Arabidopsis thaliana: one gene and its partners. The protein of the gene in region 1 interacts with the protein of each later gene in a pairwise test. Each region holds a gene or a part of one and is shown in the gene's direction. Other genes may lie near its edges.

Evidence for each region. The genes of interacting proteins can lie anywhere in the genome.
Region 2: the proteins of ARF8 (region 1) and SHY2 interact in a two-hybrid assay, tested with the Arabidopsis thaliana proteins (2 studies listed by BioGRID).
Region 3: the proteins of ARF8 (region 1) and IAA2 interact in binary tests that used the Arabidopsis thaliana proteins (3 or more experiments, as listed by UniProt).

What each region holds. Positions count from the first base shown.
Region 1 is NC_003076.8:14,627,605-14,634,981, forward strand, and holds ARF8 (auxin response factor 8), read left to right. Parts: upstream 1-1,848; 5' UTR 1,849-2,546; coding exon 2,547-2,589; intron 2,590-2,673; coding exon 2,674-2,783; intron 2,784-2,872; coding exon 2,873-2,971; exon of another isoform or gene 2,972-3,077; coding exon 3,078-3,134; intron 3,135-3,210; coding exon 3,211-3,366; intron 3,367-3,459; coding exon 3,460-3,544; intron 3,545-3,825; coding exon 3,826-3,916; intron 3,917-3,987; coding exon 3,988-4,152; intron 4,153-4,236; coding exon 4,237-4,359; intron 4,360-4,471; coding exon 4,472-4,547; intron 4,548-4,675; coding exon 4,676-4,823; intron 4,824-5,055; coding exon 5,056-6,029; intron 6,030-6,117; coding exon 6,118-6,308; coding exon of another isoform or gene 6,309-6,312; intron 6,313-6,384; coding exon 6,385-6,502; 3' UTR 6,503-6,850; downstream 6,851-7,377. Other genes in the region: AT5G37030 (P-loop containing nucleoside triphosphate hydrolases superfamily protein), read right to left, coding at 7,010-7,377. UniProt on the Arabidopsis thaliana protein: Auxin response factors (ARFs) are transcriptional factors that bind specifically to the DNA sequence 5'-TGTCTC-3' found in the auxin-responsive promoter elements (AuxREs). Seems to act as transcriptional activator.
Region 2 is NC_003070.9:1,127,648-1,131,295, reverse strand, and holds SHY2 (AUX/IAA transcriptional regulator family protein), read left to right. Parts: upstream 1-1,606; 5' UTR 1,607-1,676; coding exon 1,677-2,161; intron 2,162-2,243; coding exon 2,244-2,552; exon of another isoform or gene 2,553-2,656; coding exon 2,657-2,732; 3' UTR 2,733-3,147; downstream 3,148-3,648. Other genes in the region: AT1G04230 (rRNA-processing EFG1-like protein (DUF2361)), read right to left, coding at 3,468-3,473, 3,623-3,648. UniProt on the Arabidopsis thaliana protein: Aux/IAA proteins are short-lived transcriptional factors that function as repressors of early auxin response genes at low auxin concentrations.
Region 3 is NC_003074.8:8,180,145-8,184,013, reverse strand, and holds IAA2 (indole-3-acetic acid inducible 2), read left to right. Parts: upstream 1-1,918; 5' UTR 1,919-2,067; coding exon 2,068-2,501; intron 2,502-2,593; coding exon 2,594-2,945; 3' UTR 2,946-3,368; downstream 3,369-3,869. UniProt on the Arabidopsis thaliana protein: Aux/IAA proteins are short-lived transcriptional factors that function as repressors of early auxin response genes at low auxin concentrations.

The sequences.
Region 1 (7,377 bases):
TGATAAATTTAAAATATATTGAAATTATAGTAATCTTAATTTTAAATTTAATTTCATGTAATAGTATTTGTTTTGTGCCCATGATGATGAGCCCATATAATTTGACATCATGTTGTTTTAAAAAATCAATCGTTGAGTTATATAAATGATTGCGACGTATCGCACGATATTACCATCGATAGAACGAAGGAAACTTCCATTTAGCAGTTTTTTTTATTCAAAAAACATATCTTTCATATAATAGAAGTGGAAAAGTTACACCAAGGAAAATTGAACCTACAATCGAAATAAATGAGATAACAAAAGTATTACAATAAATTTATTGAAAGACACCAAACCAGATGAATGATCCGTTGAGCTATCCAACAAGGGTCTAGATGACATTGAAGAATGTTAATGATAAATAATGAGAACTGAGGCTGGCTTTGAGGATGAATTATGCAATCTTGCATTGCGCTTTTTTCCATATGGAGTACAGTGAGGCTTGATAGGCAATTCGAAGAATCAAAGTAGTTTTCTTGTCACGACAAGGATTCTTCAACCATCTAACTTCATCCTCAAATTGATTTAGAGGAGAAAGATGGGCTTTATCATAGAAATAGTGTCATACCTTTGCAACATAAGAGCAGTCGAAGAATAAATGTTAGCGAGATTCATCCATCAAATTACAGAGAAGACACGACGAAGGAGTAGTCATGCCCCATCGAATCATTTTGTCTCTAGTGAGAAGTCTATGATGAGACTTTAGCCAAGCAATGAAAGCATGCTTAAGAATCCTTCCTGGAAATCACACAGATTCAAACCGATCCATCTTTGTGTCAGGAGGATGAAGATGTGCATAAGTTTTTTTTTGAATATTAATGTGCCTAAGTTTTAGCAGCAGAGAAAATATTTGATGCATGGATATCATCACCTTCCAAAGGTAAACATCATCCTCTACATCCTCTTGTAAGTTAACAGTAGAATAGGAAGGAAGACATTCTTTAAGCAACTGAATAATGGGACTGCGACTTCGAGAATTTGTAAGCCACTATTGTCTCTTTCTCAATGCATCCGCAACCACAACAGAACGAGGGAGAAGAGAAATTCTTAGTCATAAATCTTCAGGTTAGCTCGACAAATATGGTCCCAAAAAAATCCAATTATCAGTCCAGAAATTACAAGTTATTTCTGAACCAATTTCACAAACGATGAAAAACCTAGTTAAGGGTCTTAACTTGCAAAGATTATTCCAAATCCAGCTTCTCCAAGTGATACACTCCATATCCCAAATTTTTTAAAAATTATTCAAACAAGATCCATGTGTATTAGTTTTCTCTTTTGGTAAGTAAAATAGTGGTATCCATAAGATGTTGGATTATCGGGCATCTATTTGCTAATGATTGTTTCTAAATTAGAACTTAGATTTGCGAATCTAATAATACATCACTTATCAATAGATAAACCTTTGACCATTTTTTCAACGAACTCATAAAAGATCCAACAAAATATTTTTTGAGTTATTAAATTAAATACTACTATAAATTATCTTTAAATAAATCAAATTATGGGAGTATTTGGTGTTTCTTTCATCAATGAATGGAGCAAAAATAAAAAGTATTTAAAATAAACAACGCTAACATTTATGACAACTCTATTATCTCTCTCTCACTCTCTCACTTCAAATACTATAATTCATTGTCCTTTTCATCGAATCCAAGACCTCAAAAAAAACAATTATTATTTTTCAACGATCAAGATCTCAAGAGTCAAATCCAACGGTCAAAAAGAAGTGACTCTGGTACTGACACCACCTCTCATAATTCTCGTTAGTAGGACCTCTCTTCTTCTTCCTTCTCTCCACTGTATCGGATCCGGGTCAAATCCGGGTCGGGTGGAGTCGGGTCGGGTCTCTTATAAGAGGAGGAAAACCACTTACTCACTTTCTTCTTCTTTTCTCTCTCTCTTTCACCCCCACGCACTCTTCTTTTCTCTCTCTGACACATATCTTTTTCTCTCACTAACCATTTCTTTCTCTCTCTCTCTTCTGTTTTTGAAAGCCAAAGTGTCTCTCTTGGACAGTGATGGAACTGCTTCAAGAGATTTAATTTTTTACCCACGAGAGAAGTCAAGTTGTTGAAGAAGAAAGATTTGTTCTTTTGTCTTGTTTCTTTCATTTTTTCATCCACAAAGATCTCAAAGACAAGAGTTTTTTTTTTTCTGTTGGGGTTGCTTCAATGCGTACTTGTAGTAGAGAGCTTGTGTTGTTGTTCATGGTTTGATGATGAGAAGAAACAGATTCTGGTTTTGAAGAAATGGGGTTTGTTCTGTTTCTTGTGTTTAAGGGTTTTATGGATGGTTTTTTGATTCGAAGCTTTCACTGAGTCTTATGGTTGTGAGTGAGATTTTTGGGGGTTTGAACAAAGGAGATGGAGAAAGACGAGTTTGTACTTCCGGAGCTAAAGAGTTATAGCTACTGTAGTAGCTGGAAGTGAAGAAGATTTTTTAATAGATTGTACGGAAAAATTAGGGTTTTCAAAGTTTGGTTTCTTGAAGTTGAATTAGACATGAAGCTGTCAACATCTGGATTGGGTCAACAGGGTCATGAAGGTGACTTGTTTACTCTCTGATTTTCTTAGTTCTGTTTCTGGACAAGTGTTTTCTTAGTTCTTGTGTCTGTGTTTGTTCTAACAGGAGAGAAGTGTCTGAATTCTGAGCTATGGCATGCTTGTGCTGGACCATTAGTCTCTCTTCCATCATCTGGTAGTCGAGTTGTTTACTTTCCACAGGGTCACAGTGAACAGGTTTGGGTTGTTGTTTAAAAGTATGGAGCTTTATTTTTAGACTTGTGTTATATTTGGGCATTTCCATTTAAATAGAAGTGTACTTGTAGGTAGCTGCTACAACTAATAAGGAAGTTGATGGTCACATACCCAATTACCCAAGCCTACCACCACAATTGATATGCCAGCTCCATAATGTTACAATGCATGTGCGTAGTTAGTTCCCTGTCCCTTTCCATATTCAATTTTTACTTTTGTAAACTAGTTTTGGGATGATGTGCTTTGTAAGTATGGGTTTCGTTTCTACTATTTCAGGCAGATGTTGAGACGGATGAAGTCTATGCTCAAATGACACTTCAACCATTGACACCGGTAGATACATTATACATAACAGGTTTTTGAGTCTGTGAATTAATAACTTAAGCTTTAGGATTGGTGTTGTTTATAGGAGGAGCAGAAGGAAACATTTGTACCGATTGAGTTGGGGATACCGAGTAAGCAACCTAGTAATTATTTTTGTAAGACTCTCACAGCTAGTGATACCAGTACACATGGAGGGTTTTCTGTTCCTAGACGTGCTGCTGAGAAAGTGTTTCCTCCATTGGTATTATACTTTTTCTTTTACTTACTTTGCTATAAATTGTTGTTGAGAAAATATATGTATTCCTTTTAATATCTTGTGTCTTCCCTGTTGCAGGATTACACACTGCAGCCACCAGCTCAAGAACTGATTGCAAGGGATCTCCATGATGTTGAATGGAAGTTTAGGCATATCTTTCGGGGTAGGTTTCACCTTTCCTCGGTGTGCGTTGATGATCCCTTTTTAACTGTAGTCGCCAGTGTAAAAATTTCAATTGGCTGTTAAGTATGTCTGAAGCAGCATCTGCTGTTATTTTCACTACTCATGTGTGGTTTAGTTGAAGAAACCACGGAGGCTCTGTGTTCTTGTCGTTGTCTATTATAACGTGGAATTATTTACTTGTTCATATGAAGTTAAGTTGATTTGAATCCTTCTTCTTGGTTTGTTAGGAATAACTTACATGGTTTTGGTGTGATTATGCAGGACAGCCCAAACGGCATCTCCTAACTACTGGATGGAGTGTCTTTGTCAGTGCCAAGCGACTAGTAGCTGGAGATTCTGTCATTTTCATCAGGTTTAGTTCTTTTGTTGTACGTTCAGTTTGTGGATTGTGATTATATTTGTAACACTATTACTTGTTTCCAGGAATGAAAAGAATCAACTCTTTTTGGGAATTCGTCATGCCACTCGGCCGCAGACTATTGTACCATCATCTGTTTTATCTAGTGATAGCATGCATATTGGACTCCTTGCTGCTGCTGCACATGCTTCTGCAACTAATAGCTGTTTCACTGTTTTCTTTCATCCAAGGTTGAAAAATCTCTCCCACCTGCATCTTTTTCATCTCTCGGTATATCCGATAATATATCCTACTAATATTCTCTTCATGTTCAGGGCTAGCCAATCTGAGTTTGTGATACAACTTTCCAAGTACATTAAAGCCGTTTTTCACACGCGTATTTCAGTTGGGATGCGCTTTCGCATGCTCTTCGAGACAGAAGAGTCGAGTGTCCGCAGGTGATGATGCCACATATCTGGAAATGCAATCTTGAAACTGAGAAAACTATATCATTATGTTACACATATTACTTTAACATGTTTTCTGACAGTGGCATGGGGAACTTTCCAGGTACATGGGTACTATAACTGGTATTAGTGATCTAGATTCTGTTCGTTGGCCAAACTCTCATTGGCGATCTGTGAAGGTAACAACACTATTAAGCCTGTTACCTTATTTAAATTCCATGGAACGTCACACAGCTTTCTGATGATTTAGTCCAATATTACTCTGAAATTCCATCAACATTGATGAACTGTGGCATTATTGGTGTAGGTTGGTTGGGATGAATCGACTGCAGGGGAGAGACAGCCAAGGGTTTCTTTATGGGAGATTGAGCCTCTGACTACCTTTCCTATGTATCCATCTCTTTTTCCTCTCAGACTAAAACGTCCATGGCATGCTGGCACATCATCTTTGCCTGGTATCCACCTTTTGGCTCTTCTCCTAACTGTTATTAACTAGTATAGTACGTTCGTGAAGTCTCTTACTGTCACTCAGTGTTTCTGCTATTGTAACTTAGTTGCTACTTCGGATAAATAACAAATGTTCGATTGAGTAGAGCTCTGAAGAGGGTCTTACTGTTATAATTTATTTACAAAGAAGTGTGTAGGTACTCTCCATAGCTATTTACTCAAAACATTATGATGTTACAGATGGAAGGGGTGATTTGGGAAGTGGTCTAACATGGCTAAGAGGGGGAGGTGGAGAGCAGCAAGGTTTGCTTCCTCTAAATTATCCATCTGTTGGTTTGTTTCCATGGATGCAACAAAGGCTGGATCTCAGTCAAATGGGGACTGATAATAATCAGCAATACCAAGCAATGTTAGCTGCTGGGTTGCAGAACATCGGCGGTGGAGATCCTTTAAGACAGCAGTTTGTACAGCTGCAAGAGCCTCACCACCAATATCTTCAACAATCAGCTTCCCATAATTCTGATTTGATGCTTCAGCAGCAACAGCAGCAACAAGCGTCACGCCATCTCATGCATGCTCAAACACAGATTATGAGTGAGAATCTTCCGCAGCAGAATATGCGACAAGAAGTTAGTAACCAACCAGCTGGACAGCAGCAACAGCTACAGCAACCGGACCAAAATGCATATCTTAATGCTTTCAAAATGCAAAATGGCCATCTTCAACAGTGGCAGCAGCAATCAGAGATGCCATCTCCCTCGTTCATGAAGTCAGATTTTACTGACTCAAGCAACAAATTTGCAACAACTGCTAGTCCGGCTTCTGGAGATGGCAATCTTTTGAATTTTTCTATAACCGGTCAGTCTGTACTCCCTGAGCAGTTAACAACAGAGGGCTGGTCTCCAAAAGCATCCAACACTTTTTCTGAACCGTTGTCACTTCCACAAGCCTATCCTGGGAAGAGTCTTGCTCTAGAACCCGGAAATCCGCAGAATCCCTCTCTTTTCGGTGTTGATCCCGACTCTGGACTCTTCCTCCCCAGTACGGTTCCCCGCTTTGCTTCTTCATCAGGAGATGCTGAAGCTTCCCCTATGTCACTAACAGATTCAGGATTTCAGAATTCCTTATATAGCTGCATGCAAGACACAACTCATGAGTTATTGCATGGAGCTGGACAGATTAACTCGTCCAACCAAACCAAGAACTTTGTAAAGGTGCTGGTTTGTTCTAGGCTCACCGACTTCTCTGTGGCTCTACTGTCTCTAAGAAAATACTGATATGCTTACAAATCCAAAACTGCAGGTTTATAAATCTGGTTCGGTTGGGCGTTCATTAGACATCTCCCGATTCAGCAGCTACCACGAGCTGCGAGAAGAGTTAGGGAAGATGTTTGCTATCGAAGGGTTGTTGGAAGACCCCCTTAGATCAGGCTGGCAGCTTGTATTCGTTGACAAGGAAAATGATATTCTTCTCCTTGGTGATGACCCATGGGAGTAAGTAAAGTACTCTTCTTCTATTTGTATACATTGCTTTAGATTTGAGATAGATCTTTAAAAGCTTGTTCTGCAGGTCATTTGTGAATAACGTTTGGTACATAAAGATACTATCACCAGAAGATGTGCATCAAATGGGAGATCATGGAGAAGGCAGTGGTGGGTTATTCCCGCAAAACCCGACCCATCTCTAGAAGCTGCTTCGGTGTTAGTCTCATCATGCTACAACGCGGGAGCCCTTTGTTTCCCATTTGAAGTCGTTTCCACTCATCTTTATATGCCATTCGTTCGCATCTCTCTCGTTTTGACGTTTTTAGAAAGAAACATAATCATATTTGTGAGTATGGGTCCTGAAACTTTAGGACGTACTTTAGCTTGTATTAGACAGACACTCTCGTCATAAACATAAGAACCTTTATGTAGCTGTCTCAGGGTAACTAAACTTTTCTAGTATTTATTCTTATTCTATTTTTGTAACAACATTGTTAGACATTCAGTTTGGTCAGACCAATTAGATTCCATAAGGTGTGAAACCAAAACCAACCAAATCTTTAAAACACAACCATTAATCACAAAATGTTACCAAAAGCTTCTACTAGTAACTTAGGTTGAAGAATGACATAGATGAAGTACCAACAACTCATTTTCTCCCTTTCTTTTTGACCCAAAGAGTACTTAAACGTGCACACACATCAGACTTATCAACCTTGGACAGCATTCATGGCATCTCTCAATCTCTTATCATCTTTAGCATCATAGAAGCATTTACGTCTCTTCGAGTCACTTATAAGGTTTGCCCAAATCGAACCACTCCGAGCCAGTGTTGACTCATTTCCAATCACCCATAAACAGTGCCTAGCTCGAGTGAGTGCCACATTGGCTCTTTGACGGTTACTGAGAAATCCAACCTTCCCGTTACTATTACTTCTAACGGTAGAGATGATGATAATGTCTTCTTCACCACCTTGAAACCCATCTACAGACCGAACATTCACAGTGAAAAGCTCACCTGATAAGGAACTGTACTTATCTCTGATTCTCTCTTGGATTGCTCTAACTTGTCCTTTGT
Region 2 (3,648 bases), on another chromosome or scaffold:
AGTTTCATGAAATATTTTGCGTTAACTGCTACTATAGTAAATTCGTGATTGTTACTTAATGGTCTAATTTATCCTTTAAAAAACCAAAACAAATCATTTTTGTGTGATTAGTTGTTGTAGCTAAGACATTGTCATTTTATTTTCAGTATAAGTTACTAAATTCGTTTATATATATAATTAAATTGCAAAGTATGCTACAGTATGACATATAATGAGTGCAGAAAAATAAAAGATGATGCCATAATACTATAGTGAATGAGAAAAGCCTGCGGATATTCATGCCTAATAAAAGTCTTTAACTCCTTATGGATAAGATATATATGGGAATACAAAACATTTAATTTATATTTATTTTTTATCTTACGTTCCACTGACGGATTATAAATAAATTTTTTAGGAAAAACTTTATATTTGTTTGTGTGTGCAAACTTTATATTACATATATTAGTCATCAAATGCTTCTATATATTGTGACCAATTCACAAATAATGATATAAATATATATATATTCCCATCAGTTTTTCTTGGTATAAATACAATTAATTCAATTCAAACTTATGACCTGTTCTGTCAAGAAAACGAATCTAGTAATTTATGACTGAACCAAGAAGAGAATGTTTCTCACCGTACAGAAGAAATCAATGCGTGATGAGTACTGAGTAGCTGTTAGCAGTCACCTCTAATTGTATGAATTTATTTTGTTGAAATATGTTCGTTAATCGTTAGTACTTGTTGAAAGTCACTACGTACGTATATATGTAGATAAAAAAAAAAAAAAAATTCTTTTAGGATTATTGTTACACGTATAATGTAAAGTTATAACATAAGTTCTTAACAACTCTTTGCATAGTACCGATTCGGACTTCGATTTCGAAAGCCATGCATGAGAAAACCAAAAAATGGAGCCAAAACTTAGATCCGGTTCAATTCGAGTAGGTTATGTCAAAGACGTAAACATCTACAATAGGAGCTCCATATAAGTAGAATACAACCAATGCCACGCTGTAACATAAACAAAGACAGCGAGAATCTGTTAAAGATCTCTCAGGTTCCAAAACAAAACTACAAGACCCCATTATGATGTTACTGACATTTAACTAAAGCCTTGTGCTAGTTGATCCTTAAGGAAGATGTCCTGTCGTGATGCTCAGTTTTATTTCAAATTCATATATACGTGTGTGTGTGTGTGTGGTGATCATGATTAATAGGTTAGAGACAGAGAGACAAAAGTTGTGGGCTTTAACAAACCCCAGTAAAGAACAATAAGTAATTTTGTCACGTAGGCTCTGTTTTTGGCTCTTCAACACCCAAAGTACCTGTTTTTTGAAGATGTGAGACATAAATTATTACTTATGATCTCAAGTCAATAAACTCATCAAATCTGAACTACCCACAATCCAAACATTGAACACTAGCTACCTTTACATATAGAGTTAATTAACCATCCATCTATTGAGAAAACGAGTAAAATATGTATTCGGTTGTTGTTCTTGGTAAGAAAAGATTATGAGCTTACGATCCGAAATTTCTTGGTTGTGATAAGTTATTAATGGGAGATAGAGAGAGGTGATATGCCCATATGGCATACCACATGTGGTGGGGGATTCGAAGATTTGATCTGGACCGTCTATCACAAGAAAGAAAGATGAAAATATTTTGTTTTTGGGTTTGGACAGATGGGAGAAAAAGAAAGTGTCCCCACAAATGTCCCCAAGAAGATGGGACACACTTTTGCCTCAAAGTTGCTGTTACTGCTACCGACAAGCTTAGCTTTTTTTCCTTTGTCCTTAATTCAGAAAACAGTTTCTTCTCTCTCTACCAGTATCTATCTTTATTCTCCTTTAACTTGTATAAAACACTCAGCTTCCTCGAAGCCTCTCATCTTCATCATCAGCAGCTTCTCTATATCTCTCCTCTCTTTCAAGGATAATAACCAAAAGCTTTTCTTTTTATCTTCTCCTGCAATTCTTGAAGAAATGGATGAGTTTGTTAACCTCAAGGAAACAGAGCTGAGGCTGGGATTACCGGGAACAGATAATGTATGTGAAGCAAAAGAGAGAGTTTCTTGCTGTAATAACAACAATAAGAGAGTACTATCAACTGATACTGAGAAGGAGATTGAATCATCATCAAGGAAAACTGAAACATCCCCTCCTCGAAAGTAAGTTAAACTCACACAAAAGTCTCTGAATCTGTAGTGGTGGAGAATTCAGTTGATTGACCGTGTTTCTTCCTTTTTGCAGGGCTCAGATTGTTGGATGGCCACCAGTTAGATCTTACAGGAAGAACAACATTCAGAGTAAGAAGAATGAATCTGAGCATGAGGGTCAAGGAATCTATGTGAAAGTAAGTATGGATGGTGCACCATACTTGAGGAAAATAGATCTGAGTTGTTACAAAGGATACTCAGAGTTGCTTAAAGCTTTAGAAGTGATGTTCAAATTCTCTGTGGGAGAGTACTTTGAGAGAGATGGATATAAAGGTTCAGACTTTGTGCCTACTTATGAAGACAAAGATGGTGATTGGATGCTCATTGGTGATGTTCCATGGGAGTAAGTCTTCTTTCATATACCTGTCTGAAAACAATTTCCACAAAATCAAAAATCAGAAACAACAATTTTGTAAGTGTTCTTATGGGTTCTGTTTGTTGTTGCAGGATGTTCATATGTACGTGCAAGAGACTAAGGATCATGAAAGGATCAGAAGCCAAAGGTTTAGGCTGTGGTGTATGAGATATATCTTCAAGAAATCTAACAGAGACACAAAAGAACTTGAAGAAAAATAGAGTTTCTTTTGGTTCAGAGAAATCTCTGTCTGTGCTTGGGTTGTCGGGTTTCTCGGGCAAGATCTATGTTCATTGGATTGAATCCAATTCATAGCCTTTATTTACCTCATCGGTAAAATTCAAATGTAAACATGCTTAATGGTCTTAAGCATATGAAACTGGAACCTAATTACATTTTGTTTCAGAAACAGGGCAAAAGGTTGTCCTTAAATCTTTGGTTATGTGTATTACATTAATTAAAGTGTTATGAAGATTGAAGAGTTGTTTTTATATTTGTAGCAATTCTGTTTTGCGTTCTCATTGATCAAAGAGATTTTCAAGCAATACCCATTTTCTATTTTGGTTCACTAGTTCTTAGATCATATTATTGATGGTCGAGGTTGGATTACTCCCATTAATTAATACAATTCGATCAAAGCCAACATGAACATAAATCAATAGAAACAAAAAAAAAACTTATCTTATATGAGAAATACGTTTTGCCCAAAGCTTAGGGTTCATTTCATCAGCCAAAAACAACAGACACCTACCTCTCTGCTTTCATGGCAACATATATATACGCATTAGATCCAATCAGAAGATGTAAGACTAGACAGGCCGTAGTAATGAGTGAAGCTTTTGGAATTGATGAACTGTGTTACGAGCTTCTTCGTTTTCTCAGACATGGCGGGAGAGACCTTGTTCACGCCTGAAACAGCAAAACGAATAATATATAATCAGCTTGTAAAATGCAGATTCTTTAGTTATAGAGTTTGAAAGATTGATGCAAATGTACCAATAAGACTTTCAACAAAAGTACGAAACAGAATTCCAGGAAAGAGTCGAGAGAAAACTCACCTGTAGCTTCTTCTTCTTAGGCCTTC
Region 3 (3,869 bases), on another chromosome or scaffold:
CAAAATTGTTCATATATGACATACTTTTTTTTTTTGAATAAACGAGAAATTAAAGTAGAAAATAATTAACATTTTTACCATGATAATTAAAACACGGTTAATATTTCTAACCAAAAAAAATTAAGAATCTATTAGCTAGTTCATATAGTTATTCACGTACCTCTTCAAGATATGTACGTTAAAATTGTCATCAGAATCTGTAGTCCTTGTAGAGTAAAAAATATCAAATATTAACATAAAAGAACAAACAACTGTTGATTCAGTACATAAATTAATACATTAAATTGACCACAGAGACCAAAATAATCTAAAAATGATTTATGTATTTGGCTTAAGTTCAATATTGTTTTTTAGGCAAAACTTAATGTTCAATATATATTCATGGAATTAACTCCATAATAAACAGTAACTGAATTCTCTTGTACTTTCTTAAATGGTTTTCAGTAAAAAGGTTTAGTTTAACCAACAAATAACTTTAGCAATCATCTATATAAGCATAAAGCATCACATAGATCTAGTAGTTATGTTTCTATAATACATTTTCACTAAGACTAAAACATGCATGAACACACAAACAGGAAAAAACTATTCTCAAGAAGTTTGTTTCCCACCATGTTAAGTGATTCTAGAAATCTGTAAATGGTTAACCTTTAGTATTCATTCGTGCAATATTTAACAGACAAATGGTATTCATTCGTGCATCTCTCAGTTTGTGAGAAAATACATTGCATGAGTTCGTTATTAACTGGAAATAATACATAAAACTCTGACAATCAGAACCTCTAAATTATTTACTTATAAGAAGAGAGGCAACGTATCTTGCATCGCTTTTACTTATCTAATCTTTTGGTGATGGAAGGGGCAAGAACATAGAAGGAATCTTTATCTTAAAAGAAGAGAAAACAAATAATATCCAAAATTGGTAAATCCATTGAATAAAGCCTAACGTTAACATCAAATCGCATGCGGATTAGAAGCTAAATGCACATAGTTAAGCGTAATCTATGGGGAGAAATTAATTACCACTTTTTGGTTCATTCTTTTAAGTTTTATGATTCAATGAATACATAGCACGTGGAACCTCTCTCCCCCACAACCCATTTTGAAGGGAAATGAATAATTAAAAGAGACATACACATAAGAAAGCACATGGCTTTACCATTCCTCTATCAATTACCAACACATTTGACCCTTATCCACATGGGTCTTCGTCTCCTATTATAAAATCAAAATCTACACACAAAATGTTATAACATTTTCCAACTCACAATATACAAAATGCCACGCATAAATATGTCTTCGCAAGACAAATATGTAACGTTTAATATTCGATATTATCTGAGATTTAACCATAAAACTAATATTTCTTTATTAATCAAATTACATCTACGAGCAAAAATGATAAAATTCAACTTATGCACATTCAATAGTTCGTAACACATAAGAGTACTTGGAAACTCTAAATAATCTTCATTTTGGAATCAGGATTCAATAAAATAGTACTTTATTTGACATAAGTGTCCTTTTAACCATTTTTTACACCATACGTTTTTTCTTCTGAATCGAAATTTTTACATCATACTTTCAAAACATCTATTAATCTTTTAAGTTAAAAATTAATAAATCAATAGAAGTAAACTAAAAATAATAATCAACTTTCACATCAAATTTTAAGACAACACATTATATTTAAATATATATTAAGAATATCTATTATGCAACAAATGGATTAACAATCATTAGCACTTGATATTTTCTTTATAACCTGCACTATACACTTTCAAAAAGAGAAGAAGAAACCTTTAAGAAACAGTAAATAAATGTTATTATAATACACCTCTTTAGTCTTTACTTTATTTATATTTTCTCTGTTTGCTTTTATTCCGGGTCGGCCGATAGAATTCTCATCATTTCATTCATTTTTATATTCTTTCGTTATAATTATTATACATCCTTTGAAAGAAAAAGAAGAGGCAATAGAGATGGACGGCTAAGATGTTAACGTAAACAAAGTTGGCGGAGGGAAAAGAGGAGCGTGGAATAATTAAACAAAAGAGTCGTGTCCACATGGGCGGCCTCAAGCTTCGTGTCCCACTTTTGTCCCCTTGCCTCTTTCTTGCCTTTCATGCTTCCGACAACACTTCTCTCTCTTCCTTTAACCCTAACTTCGATGCTCCTTTATATATATCTCTCTCCCCTTTTCTCCAAAACTCATCAACCAGCTCACCAAGAACAAGAACAAGAAGAAGAAGAACAAGACAAGAAGAACAAAGTACCCAAGAAAACACACAAGAAGGAAACACAAAGATTGATATTGATCCAAAAGCAATGGCGTACGAGAAAGTCAACGAGCTTAACCTTAAGGACACAGAGCTATGTCTTGGATTACCCGGAAGAACAGAGAAGATCAAAGAAGAACAAGAGGTTTCTTGCGTTAAAAGTAACAACAAGCGTCTATTTGAGGAAACTCGTGATGAAGAAGAATCTACACCTCCTACCAAGTAAGTAGAAGAGATCTGAGTTTCAAATTGGCTTCTTTCAAATTATTGGCTCTTGAATAGTTTTACTAATCTTTCTTTCCTCAAATTTACAGAACTCAAATCGTTGGTTGGCCACCAGTGAGATCTTCCCGTAAGAACAACAACAGTGTGAGCTACGTGAAAGTGAGTATGGACGGAGCTCCTTACCTTCGCAAGATCGATCTCAAGACATACAAAAACTACCCCGAGCTTCTCAAAGCGTTAGAGAATATGTTCAAAGTCATGATTGGTGAATATTGTGAGAGAGAAGGATACAAAGGATCTGGATTTGTACCAACATACGAAGATAAAGATGGTGACTGGATGTTGGTTGGTGATGTTCCATGGGACATGTTCTCTTCTTCTTGTAAGAGACTCAGAATCATGAAGGGATCCGACGCTCCTGCTCTAGACTCTTCCTTATGATCCAGAGAAGCTGAGAATCTTTTGTCTAAAAAGGAGATGATGACTATGATCGATGAATGAAAAACCCTTTTTGGTTTGATTCGGATCGGAGTTTGACTAAAGTTGACCGTGAAAGACGAAACTTCGGGGTTTTGTCCGACGAGAGATCCATCTCTAGTGATGTTCTTTTTGTTTTTGTATTTAGATTTGAAGTTTGATGTAAAGATACATGAGATTTTATGTATAATACGGACACATACACAATCTATAGATGTATAATGTATTAAGTAGTTATGTCCTATAAGATCATCAGTTTTCTGTTCTTGATCACGAACATAATATTTTAAATTTCAGAAACTTATACACATTTGTTTAGCCAAGGTTATTTATTAACTTTTTTTTTTGTTTAAAGTTTAACCAAGGTTATTATTTACTTATTCAGCAAAACATTTACCACCACATGAGACAAATTTTCTATAATGCCTTCCCAAAACACATCCACAATTCTATAGATAGGCCTTGTCGATCAAAAGATTTCAAAAACAATTTTTCTTTTTGATGAATTGTAAATGACTCTGTCTCTTCAGCTTATTAGATGTTTTAGCTAAACTGCAAGAATTATTATGTAATAATTTTGTTATATTAAAAACAGAAATTAATATCTAACCTAAACAATTCAACCAATTGTAAAAAAATATTACATAATAATATAAGTCTGATAACATATGAAATTGAAAAACACAATTTAATATAATAAAACTGAGAAAATAATATTAGTTTTTCTAGGGTAAAGGTTATTAATATTACATAAAAACATAATAATATTAATAAAACACAATTTAAGATTATAGATTTTTAGACTACAAAAGGGCTCATGGGAAGTTCTCGAACCGGAACTGAACCAAAATACCGAACGCCAATGACTAGTTTTCAAGTATGTTTTTT